Linked DNA regions of Solanum lycopersicum. The protein of the gene in region 2 binds, or shares a complex with, the protein of the main gene of each other region. Links are inferred from orthologs where the notes say so. Each region holds a gene or a part of one and is shown on either strand. Other genes may lie near its edges.

Region 1 (4,326 bases), on a different chromosome or scaffold from region 2:
TATTATGCTGTCCAAACATTCAGTTATTCCATGATATTTGGCTTATTTTATAGTTTCTCTGATGTCACATGCATATTGCTTATTCCTTGTAAGCATTCACTGGATCTTCGGATGGTTCAAAATTGGGAAGCATAGATATAAGCTGCGAGTCTGTCTGTCACTTCCTTTTGTGATCCTATTGAATGATAGTTTTTGCAGATATTTTAATCTCCATAAGCCAGTTTGTAAACAACTCCTATTTTGTTCCAAAAAATCTTTGGATGGGAGGGATTGAAGGCCTTGTATATTTCATGAACACGTACAGACATGAACACTACATACCAAACTAGTTTTTGTTGTTCTCTCTTTTCCCCTTTTTGGTACTAGTGGAGATTGAGTACCTTGATTCCAATTTTTATTAAAATAAAGGTGATATTCAATGTTTTGCGAACTATTGTGGCATTTAATGTATGAGTCATATGATGAAATTATGAGAAAGAATGATAAGAGCATAGACTTGGAAACACCACAAGAGTAATAGATAACCAGTTTGGGTGCATGCCCTGTAGATCTACATCTGAGACTACATTTTTGTGTAGGAGATTGATGGAAGTTTATCGTAGACAAAATTTGCACATGGTGTTCATTGGCCTAGAAAAATTATATGATAGAGTACAAAGAAAGGTTCTTTGGTGGGTGTCGTCGTGTCGGAGAAGAAAGGACCTGTTAACTATATAAAAGTCATAAAAGACATGTATGAAAGAGTCTTCACTAGCCTGAGAACTGTAGTAGGGAATGCGAAGGAGATCTTGTAATCATGGATTTACACCAGGGATTGTCATTGAACCCATACTTGTTTATGCTAGCTACGGATGAGCTATCCAACATAATACAAGACGAGGGTCTAACCAACATGATACAAGATGAGGTCACTTAACTCATGTCCCATCCCTTCCCCTTGCCCCCTGGACATGATCCTATTCGACCACACCAAAGCCACCAAAGGAGATGTAAATTAAACAAGATGCAAGAGAAATAAGAATCTACTAAAACTATTGAATCAAGCAGAGAGACTAGGACTAATTAACTATAATAAGAACAGAAGAAAAGCAAGAAATATTATACAGAATGAACTGAAGCAACTAGCTCTAGAATATGGGTATACCCAAAATACTAACACCAGAGAAACCACAAGAACTATGAAATATATGGCACTATGGATCAAGAAACGAAGAGTCCGAGGGCAGAGTTAAATCAAGAGCAAAGTGAAGAAGGGATAGAGATATGCAATATTACACAATTAACAATGATACAAGAAAGATAGATCTGAAGACAATATAGGGAACCAATCTGAAAACTAGATCTGAAATGTAACTCTAGATATGCATATAGCAATGAAACAAATCTGAAAACCAGAAACTGAAGGCAAACTGATGTGAAACTGGAATAATTTGGGAAGATAGAACCTGTAACTTGAAGAGGAGATAGGAGGTACTTCATCCGGGCACTGGGGAGGTAAGCGGTCCGTGTTCTGCTGCTGCCCTTGTAACTTGAGACCCAACCCAGAATTATGGAGAAAGAAAACTCTAGAGTTGCTGGAGTAGATGTGCTTTCCAGAGCAGTGGCAGTGATGGACGAGCTGCGGTGGTGAAAGAAAACCCTAGAGTCAGGGTCCAAGAAAGTGAGAGAGAAATAGTCACAGGGAGTTTTGGCGCCGGTGAAGAAGATGGCCGATGAGTGGTTAGTGTGGCGGCAAAATTTCACCGGAGAAGACAGATTGTAACGCTGTCCAAGCAAGTTCTTGAATGAGATGAATTCTTGCACCCAAAGATGAAGGGGGTACATTTTCATGTTATTGCTAACTCAAACGTCATTAGCTTCAAGCGATAAAAGAACAAGGTTAAGAAGATAGGAAATTGTGTTTTTTTTTTTCCATGCAGGCAATTTACTGGGTGAATGAAATTATAGATGAAGATGTTACAAATAGAATCAGAATTGAATAGTTGAAACAAAATAGTGTTTCTGGTTGTTATGTGGTAGAGAGATGCCTACCAAAGTGAAAGGTAAGTTTTTTAGAATAGTTATAAAACCAACAATGCTTTATGAGAGTGATTCTTGGGTCGTGAAAGTTAAACACATTTACAAGAAGAATTTTGAAGAAATACAGATGCTAAGATGAATTTGTGGTCATACTAAATTTGACAAGATTAGAAATGATTATATTACTAGAATGTTTAAGTAGCACACGTCGAGGGGAAAATGTCCGAAAGCTTCTTGAAATAATTTGTTCATCATGTGTCAATCTGCAGTGTAATACACCGGTCTATAGGTGTGCAACCATTGTGAAGGTAAGTGTTAAAAGAGGAGGAAAATGCATCTAAGGACCTAAAATCCTTGGGAACCCATGCAGACATAGCGAAGTGGGGCACAGTGGATAAAAATCTAGATATTCGTTGCCTGTTCTTTTGAGGCGAGGGTTTATCGGAACCACCTCTCTGCCCCACAAATGTAGGGGCAAGGTCTACATACGTCCTACTCTCCTCACACCTCACTTGTGGGACTACAGGAGTTCTGTTATTGTTGTAGTCAATGCTTATTAGAGTATTAGTTGAAAATTTGTTTTAGGCATGTTAGCACTTTTACTGCCCTATACTTTATAGTAGTGGTTTAGCATTTCAGAGATTTGTAGGTTCAAAAAATTATGGAGAACTTTTATTACTTTTTATTTGTATTTGCAAAATATTGGCATGTTGTGAGTTTAAATGGATAACATGATCAATGAGGATTCATATAACAAACCCCAACTTGTTTGGGACTAAGGTGTACTGCTGTTGTGAACTTAATTTTCAATTGCATTATTGAATTATAGTGAACTATTTCCACTATTGTCAGGATGCAGCTGACTAGTTTAGTGAGATGGTTGTTGAATCAATAAAGGAAAAATGTCAAAGAACTAACGACATGTACATAAGCTCTTTTATTTACTGTGGCCTGTGGGATACATACCTCTATAATTAAAATGCAAGCTATGTTTATTATTTAGGACTAAAGATGTTCTATTTCTCTGATTCTTGCAGTTCCTTGAAAAAACAATATTTTGAAGATTGTACAAAAAAATAATATAAGAAAAAAATTATAGCTTTAAAAATGAAGAGAAAAAAAACAATCTACCTTTCACTAGAAACATTTTAGAAGTTCAAATCAAACAACTCAAATATTCATATTAATAAATAAAGTTTTTATAACATCATCCAAGTGCAGACAAATGACTAACATGTTATTAACTAAAATTTAAATAATTTGGTTTTAGGCCACTATATTTTAGTGAATAACATGTTAATCATTTGTATGCACTTGGTTGGATGATGTTATAAAAACATTATTTATTAATATGAAACATAGTTTAGTGAGATGGTTGTAGAATCCATAAAGGAAAAATGTCAAAGAACTAATGACATGTACATCACCTCTTTTATTTACTGTGAGATACAGACCTCTATAATTAAAAAGCAAGCTATTTTTATTAGGATTAAAGATGTTCTATTTCTCCAATTCTTGCAGTTCCTTGAAAAAACAACTGATTGTAGCAAGAGATACCAGGCGTGTAGACATATTATGTTATAGGCTTTCATTGAGCCAAAAACTTTCTTTTGGTGCCGAAAATTGCCCAAAGCTGTATGAAGTTCTAGATGAAGCAGTGAACAAGCTTGAAGCAGATGTTGGCCCTTTGACTGGTTTGCCTGTGAAGATGGCTAGAGGTATAGTGAACAGGCTCTCATTTGGCCCTGCTGTTCAGCAACTTTGTGGCTTGGCTGTTGAGTACATAGATGCCCTTCTCTCTGAGAGAGTGTCTGAAATGCCATCTAATGCTAAGGTCAAAGGTAATACTCATTCTAATTTGTGGTTTGTTTGTGCAGTACATAGATACTCTCCTTATTTTTATTGATTCTGTAGATTTACCTTTCTCTTCATGTGTTATTGTGATGCCTTCATTGGTTTCTTTGTCTAAGCTTGGTACTCATTTGATTTAAGTCAAGTGAAGTAATCAGCATTTACATGGGCTATATTTTTTAGATTGCGAGGTGATAGAATCAAAGCTTGTCAGATTTGAGGATGTCTTTCCCTCATCTGTGACCGTTGTTTTGAGTTCTGAAGGGTCATCTATGGAGAATGTTGTTGGTTACTCCTTGTGGCATCGGAAAGCTGTTGAAACGGAATATCCAGTAGAACCAACTCGAACATTGTTTTCCCCAAACACTAGGTTTGTGCTCTCAGATCTGATGCCAGCTACAGATTATGTTCTCAAGATTGTTTCCCTTGATAGCAAGAAAGAACTGGGAATGTTTG
Region 2 (4,916 bases):
TGAAAAAAATCATGAAGATTATTTAGCAACTAATAAGGGAATCAATGTAAAACCTACAAGAGAAGGAATAAGAAGTTAAGAATCGTATGATAATCGAAACGTAATAAACAACAAACAATGATAGATATCAAAAGCAAAAACTATATTATTACAAATAATACGACAACAAACATCAACATCCATTGTTTGTTAACCTTTTACCCCATTGAGTGTCCTCCACGCCCTCATGTTTAAGATAGTATTCTTGGTAATTAGAAGTTATTTTGTGTCGTGACTGATTAGCTCTCTGAATACTTCTTCTGCCTATTCTACTGCTTCTCGAATCTACTATAACTAACCTCTCATATCTCCTCAGTGCAGCATATGCACATCTCTTATTCATACGTTTAGATCATCTCAGAGTTACTTTCTTCCTATCACAAGAGGTTACTCTGTCCTTATCTTGGATATTCTTATTCATAATTTTATTGCTCTTGGTATATAGGTCCACTCTGAACATACAATTAAGGTATAATATATTTTCATTTTCATTTTTAGTAGATTACCAAATAAATTTTATGATATATTTATCTTACAATAACATATTTAACGTATTTTTACAGAATATTAAAAGGTAAATATGTATACAAATTCTACTCATATTAAATAAAATAAAGTTTTGTTTTTATACTCTCCACTCAATTATCAAACCTTACTAATCATAATAAAAAGGGAAACATTCAAAATAAAGGAATCAAGAAAAAATATTAAAGCAAACAAGAAAATTCATACTAAAAACACAAGCATCTATGACAAAGTAATATGATAATCCAAGTGCAATATATAACAAAAAAAAATAGAATTACAAGAAATTTCTCGATAATATTGTGACTCGTTTGGTTTGAATTCATATTTGATGGAATTAATTATGATGAAATAAGTTATGCTAAGAATATTTTTTATTGACTATTTGGTTTGTTGTATTCAAAATAATAAATCTTCTAAACAACATATATGTGTACGAGAACACCCTTCATGAATGTGAGAAGTAATATATAAAAAGTGTTTAAAGGGATATTTTTGTCAATTAGTCATTTTGTCCATGGATAAGTTATTTCAGAATTATTATACCATTCAAGAAAAGAAATAACTTATATCGGTACTAATTATTAATTGTAGGATCCTTTAATACTAGAAATTTTTTAAAATTAAATAAGGACATATTAGGAAAAAAAATTATTGTCCTTTCTTGATTTGTTAAAATAGACAAGTAAATAGGAATAGATATAAAAGAATATGTGGTCACATGAATAAGTAAATAGTGATAGAGGGAGTAGTTAACAAAGTAAAAATAGTTTATATTTAATGGGGCTAGAGGATAAATTTGGCGGCTATTTATGTAAAGATACCTGCACATCCAACCGATTCGTAATTCGGGTCACACAGCCCAATGTCGTCGCAATATAAAACCCTTTTAGCTTTGCACATATCCCGCAAAAAAAAAGAAAAAAAGAAAAAGAAAATTCACTGAAAAATACCGTTCCCTCCAATTCTCTACAAACCCTCGTAAAAATCCCCAAACTCCACAAAACCCAAACCCTCACGCACTCAAAACAGAAGAAGAAAAATCTTAAGGCAATTCTTGAAATTGTTTAATGGGGAAAGACGAAGATGAGATGCGGGGTGAAATTGAGGAGAGGCTGATAAACGAGGAGTACAAGATTTGGAAGAAGAATACTCCTTTTCTTTACGATCTGGTTATTACTCACGCGCTTGAATGGCCTTCGCTCACCGTCGAATGGTTACCGGACCGGGAAGAGCCGTCGGGAAAGGATTATTCCGTTCAGAAGATGATTTTGGGGACTCATACATCGGAAAATGAGCCTAACTATCTCATGCTTGCTCAGGTTCAGCTGCCTCTTGAGGATGCTGAGAATGATGCCCGCCACTATGATGATGATCGGTCTGAATTTGGCGGATTTGGTTGTGCCAATGGCAAGGTTTGAATCTATTCTGTTTTATGCCTTGTTTGGCTGTTTTATATGGGTTTTCATTTTCTGGATGTTTTATTTTACTACATTTTTCTGGCTAATTTCAGTGTTAACGTCTGAGATTTACTTGTTTTGTACTAGAGTTTAGTTGTTCTAGGGCAGCCTGTTTAAGAATCTCTTGAATTTTGATAGCTTTGGGATTATGTTATATAGTAAATGGTTTAAAGTTTATTAACAACACTATAACAAGTAACCAGTGTAGTCCCAGAGGGTAGTGTGTACACAGACTTACTCCTACCTTGTGGAGTTCGAGAGGTTGTTTACAATAGACCGTTGGCTCAAAGTTTTCTCCTTTGCAGCGTAGGTACTAGGGAGTTGTGAATTGGAAGTTGTCAGTTCATTCATGGATTTTGCTCAAGGTACAGTTAATATTTCATCAAAAATTCACCAAAGGGGAAAAAAGGGGGCCTAGCATAATTAGTGCACCATTTTCTGACCCACCACCACACCAAATAAGGGCACCTAATAGGTCAATCCCTTTGGGCAGAGTGAACTCTTTGACTGACATTTTCTTATTGAAATTTTATGCGTTGTTGTAGTTTTTATTATTCCTCTGCTTCTTTCTCTGTCCTGATATTGTTGAAAGGTTCTCTTCATAAAGGGCACTTGAGGCTTTTATATCATATATGAATAATGATGCTTGGACCCCAAATCAGTAGTGATTTGCTGGTAGCTTAGGTGAAATGGGTTGTAACAAAGCCAATGCTTCCTGATTCGGCTAGCGTTCTAAAACTAATGGTTTAGTTGCTCCACTCATTTGAATGTGAAGATGATTGGAAGCAACATTGCTGCAGGAGAAAACTGATGAAGTTTTGAATAGTCAGCTAGAACTTTAAAAAGCTTATGAGAATACCACTTATGACTATCACCTTTTAGTGTAGATTGATGTCACAGATATCAAAGGTACTATCCACATAGAGTCAGTGATAAATTGATAATGAATTCTTCTATTTATGATGAGGGCATGGAACTGTAAAATCTTATTCTCTAAAAAGGTTTTAAAAATGGTCTGTCAGTTCCAATTATCACTTGAAGGCCTTACTCTGATATCTTTTTGCTGTACTATTATTTCCCATAATATCAGAGTGAATTTCTTGTCTCTGTTTCAACATTGAGTGGCTTATGTATAATGATAAATATTTCTCTTTCAGGTACAAATAATCCAGCAAATAAATCACGATGGAGAGGTTAATCGGGCTCGATATATGCCCCAAAACCCATTTATCATTGCAACTAAGACAGTTAGTGCTGAAGTATATGTTTTTGACTACAGTAAACATCCATCTAAGCCTCCTCTAGATGGTGCATGCAATCCAGATTTGAGGTTAAGAGGCCACAGTACAGAGGGGTATGGTTTGTCTTGGAGTCAATTTAAGCAGGGTCATCTATTGAGTGGTTCAGATGACTCACATATATGTTTATGGGACATTAATGCCACTCCCAAAAATAAGGCTCTAGAGGCTATGCAGATATTTAAGGTTTGCCTCGTGTTTTTTTTTCTGACGAGTCTGCAGAGGATAGATATTGCCATGTTACACTGCATAGATTATCAATTTGTTGCACCCACTTACTACTTGTAGTTTTATCTTGTGCAAATAACCATAATTGATAATTGGAGAAGAACTTGTATGCTTTCCCTTCCAGCAAACACCCCCAGGCACCTCGAAGTAAAAAAAGATCAAGCGAAGCAGAATAGCATGAGTTCTCTTTATTAATATCATGTTACAAAGTTAAACTGTAACTTCAATAGTGTCCCAACTTTTGTCTCAAAGGATATTTTTGGTATCATCTTCTCTACTATTTGCTGTCTGAAGCTTCAGTCTACCTAGCATGGACAAGAATCTTGTCTCTCGTATTATTTTCTCATTAAGCTTTTGTCAGCTGTTGTTGGTTTATTCTAATATTTAAAATGTGTAGGTTCATGAAGGTGTTGTTGAGGATGTAGCTTGGCATCTGAGGCATGAGTATTTATTTGGCTCTGTTGGGGATGATCAGTATTTGCACGTATGGGATCTGCGAACTCCATCAGTGACCAAGCCTATACAATCTGTAGTTGCACATCAAAGTGAGGTGCGGCTTAGACTTCTTAGCTGGACTTTTCCACGTTTATGTAGTTAATAATGCTTCCCTTTTGACTGGTGTAAGAACCACTCAGATATGTCTTCTTAACATTGTTGGCAGTCTTTTGATTTTCTTGCACAGAAATGTGAGGATCTTGTGCTTACAAAATAATTATAGTTTTTCTTGAAACTAGAATTAGTGTTTCCCAATTTTTACCTGTACTTTTTTTTCTTTTCATTTTCGTGGGTTTACATTATTGGATGTGCAAACAAGTGATTGCTGTGTGTGTAAACTATAATGTGATGCTCATGTCTGGATGAATTTCTGTTTCGTTTTAAATGGTTTAAGGAGAAGATCCTGCCTTCCATACTCTCTGCTGATTATTAAATGTACAATATCATAGAAGGATGATCATTACTGCACATGGCCTATTATGAAAAACATTTCTGAATGCAGTTATCTAGATTTTTTGTGAACAAGCAGTCTTGTGTTGATGATTGTACATGATTGACCTCCTTTCTCTTTTGATCAGGTTAACTGCTTAGCTTTCAACCCCTTTAATGAATGGGTTGTAGCAACGGGGTCTACAGACAAGACAGTTAAATTATTTGATCTACGCAAGATTTCTACTGCACTTCATACTTTGGATTGTCACAAGTAAGATGTCTTCCTTACATATACTTTTGAGGAAAATGTTGGCTCCGTCATCATTCGTGTTAAATAGTATAATAGAAGCTTGTTCATCTGTATTTACAGTTGCTTATCATTAATTTCCTTGCAACTTTTCTGCAGGGAGGAAGTTTTCCAGGTTGGGTGGAATCCAAA

The links. The genes of interacting proteins can lie anywhere in the genome.
Region 1: MSI1 (region 2) and VIN3 share a complex: the UniProt entries of both Arabidopsis thaliana proteins name them as parts of the plant homeodomain / polycomb repressive complex. The link is inferred for Solanum lycopersicum from reciprocal best matches to the Arabidopsis thaliana genes MSI1 and VEL1.

What each region holds. Positions count from the first base shown.
Region 1 is NC_090806.1:12,272,931-12,277,256, forward strand, and holds part of VIN3 (vernalization insensitive 3), read left to right. Parts: intron 1-3,540; coding exon 3,541-3,860; intron 3,861-4,053; coding exon 4,054-4,326. UniProt on the Arabidopsis thaliana protein: Maybe involved in both the vernalization and photoperiod pathways by regulating gene expression. Binds preferentially to dimethylated histone H3 'Lys-9' (H3K9me2).
Region 2 is NC_090800.1:88,997,209-89,002,124, reverse strand, and holds the start of MSI1 (WD-40 repeat-containing protein MSI1), read left to right. Parts: upstream 1-1,492; 5' UTR 1,493-1,634; coding exon 1,635-1,979; intron 1,980-3,181; coding exon 3,182-3,508; intron 3,509-3,947; coding exon 3,948-4,100; intron 4,101-4,623; coding exon 4,624-4,748; intron 4,749-4,883; coding exon 4,884-4,916. UniProt on the Arabidopsis thaliana protein: Core histone-binding subunit that may target chromatin assembly factors, chromatin remodeling factors and histone deacetylases to their histone substrates in a manner that is regulated by nucleosomal DNA.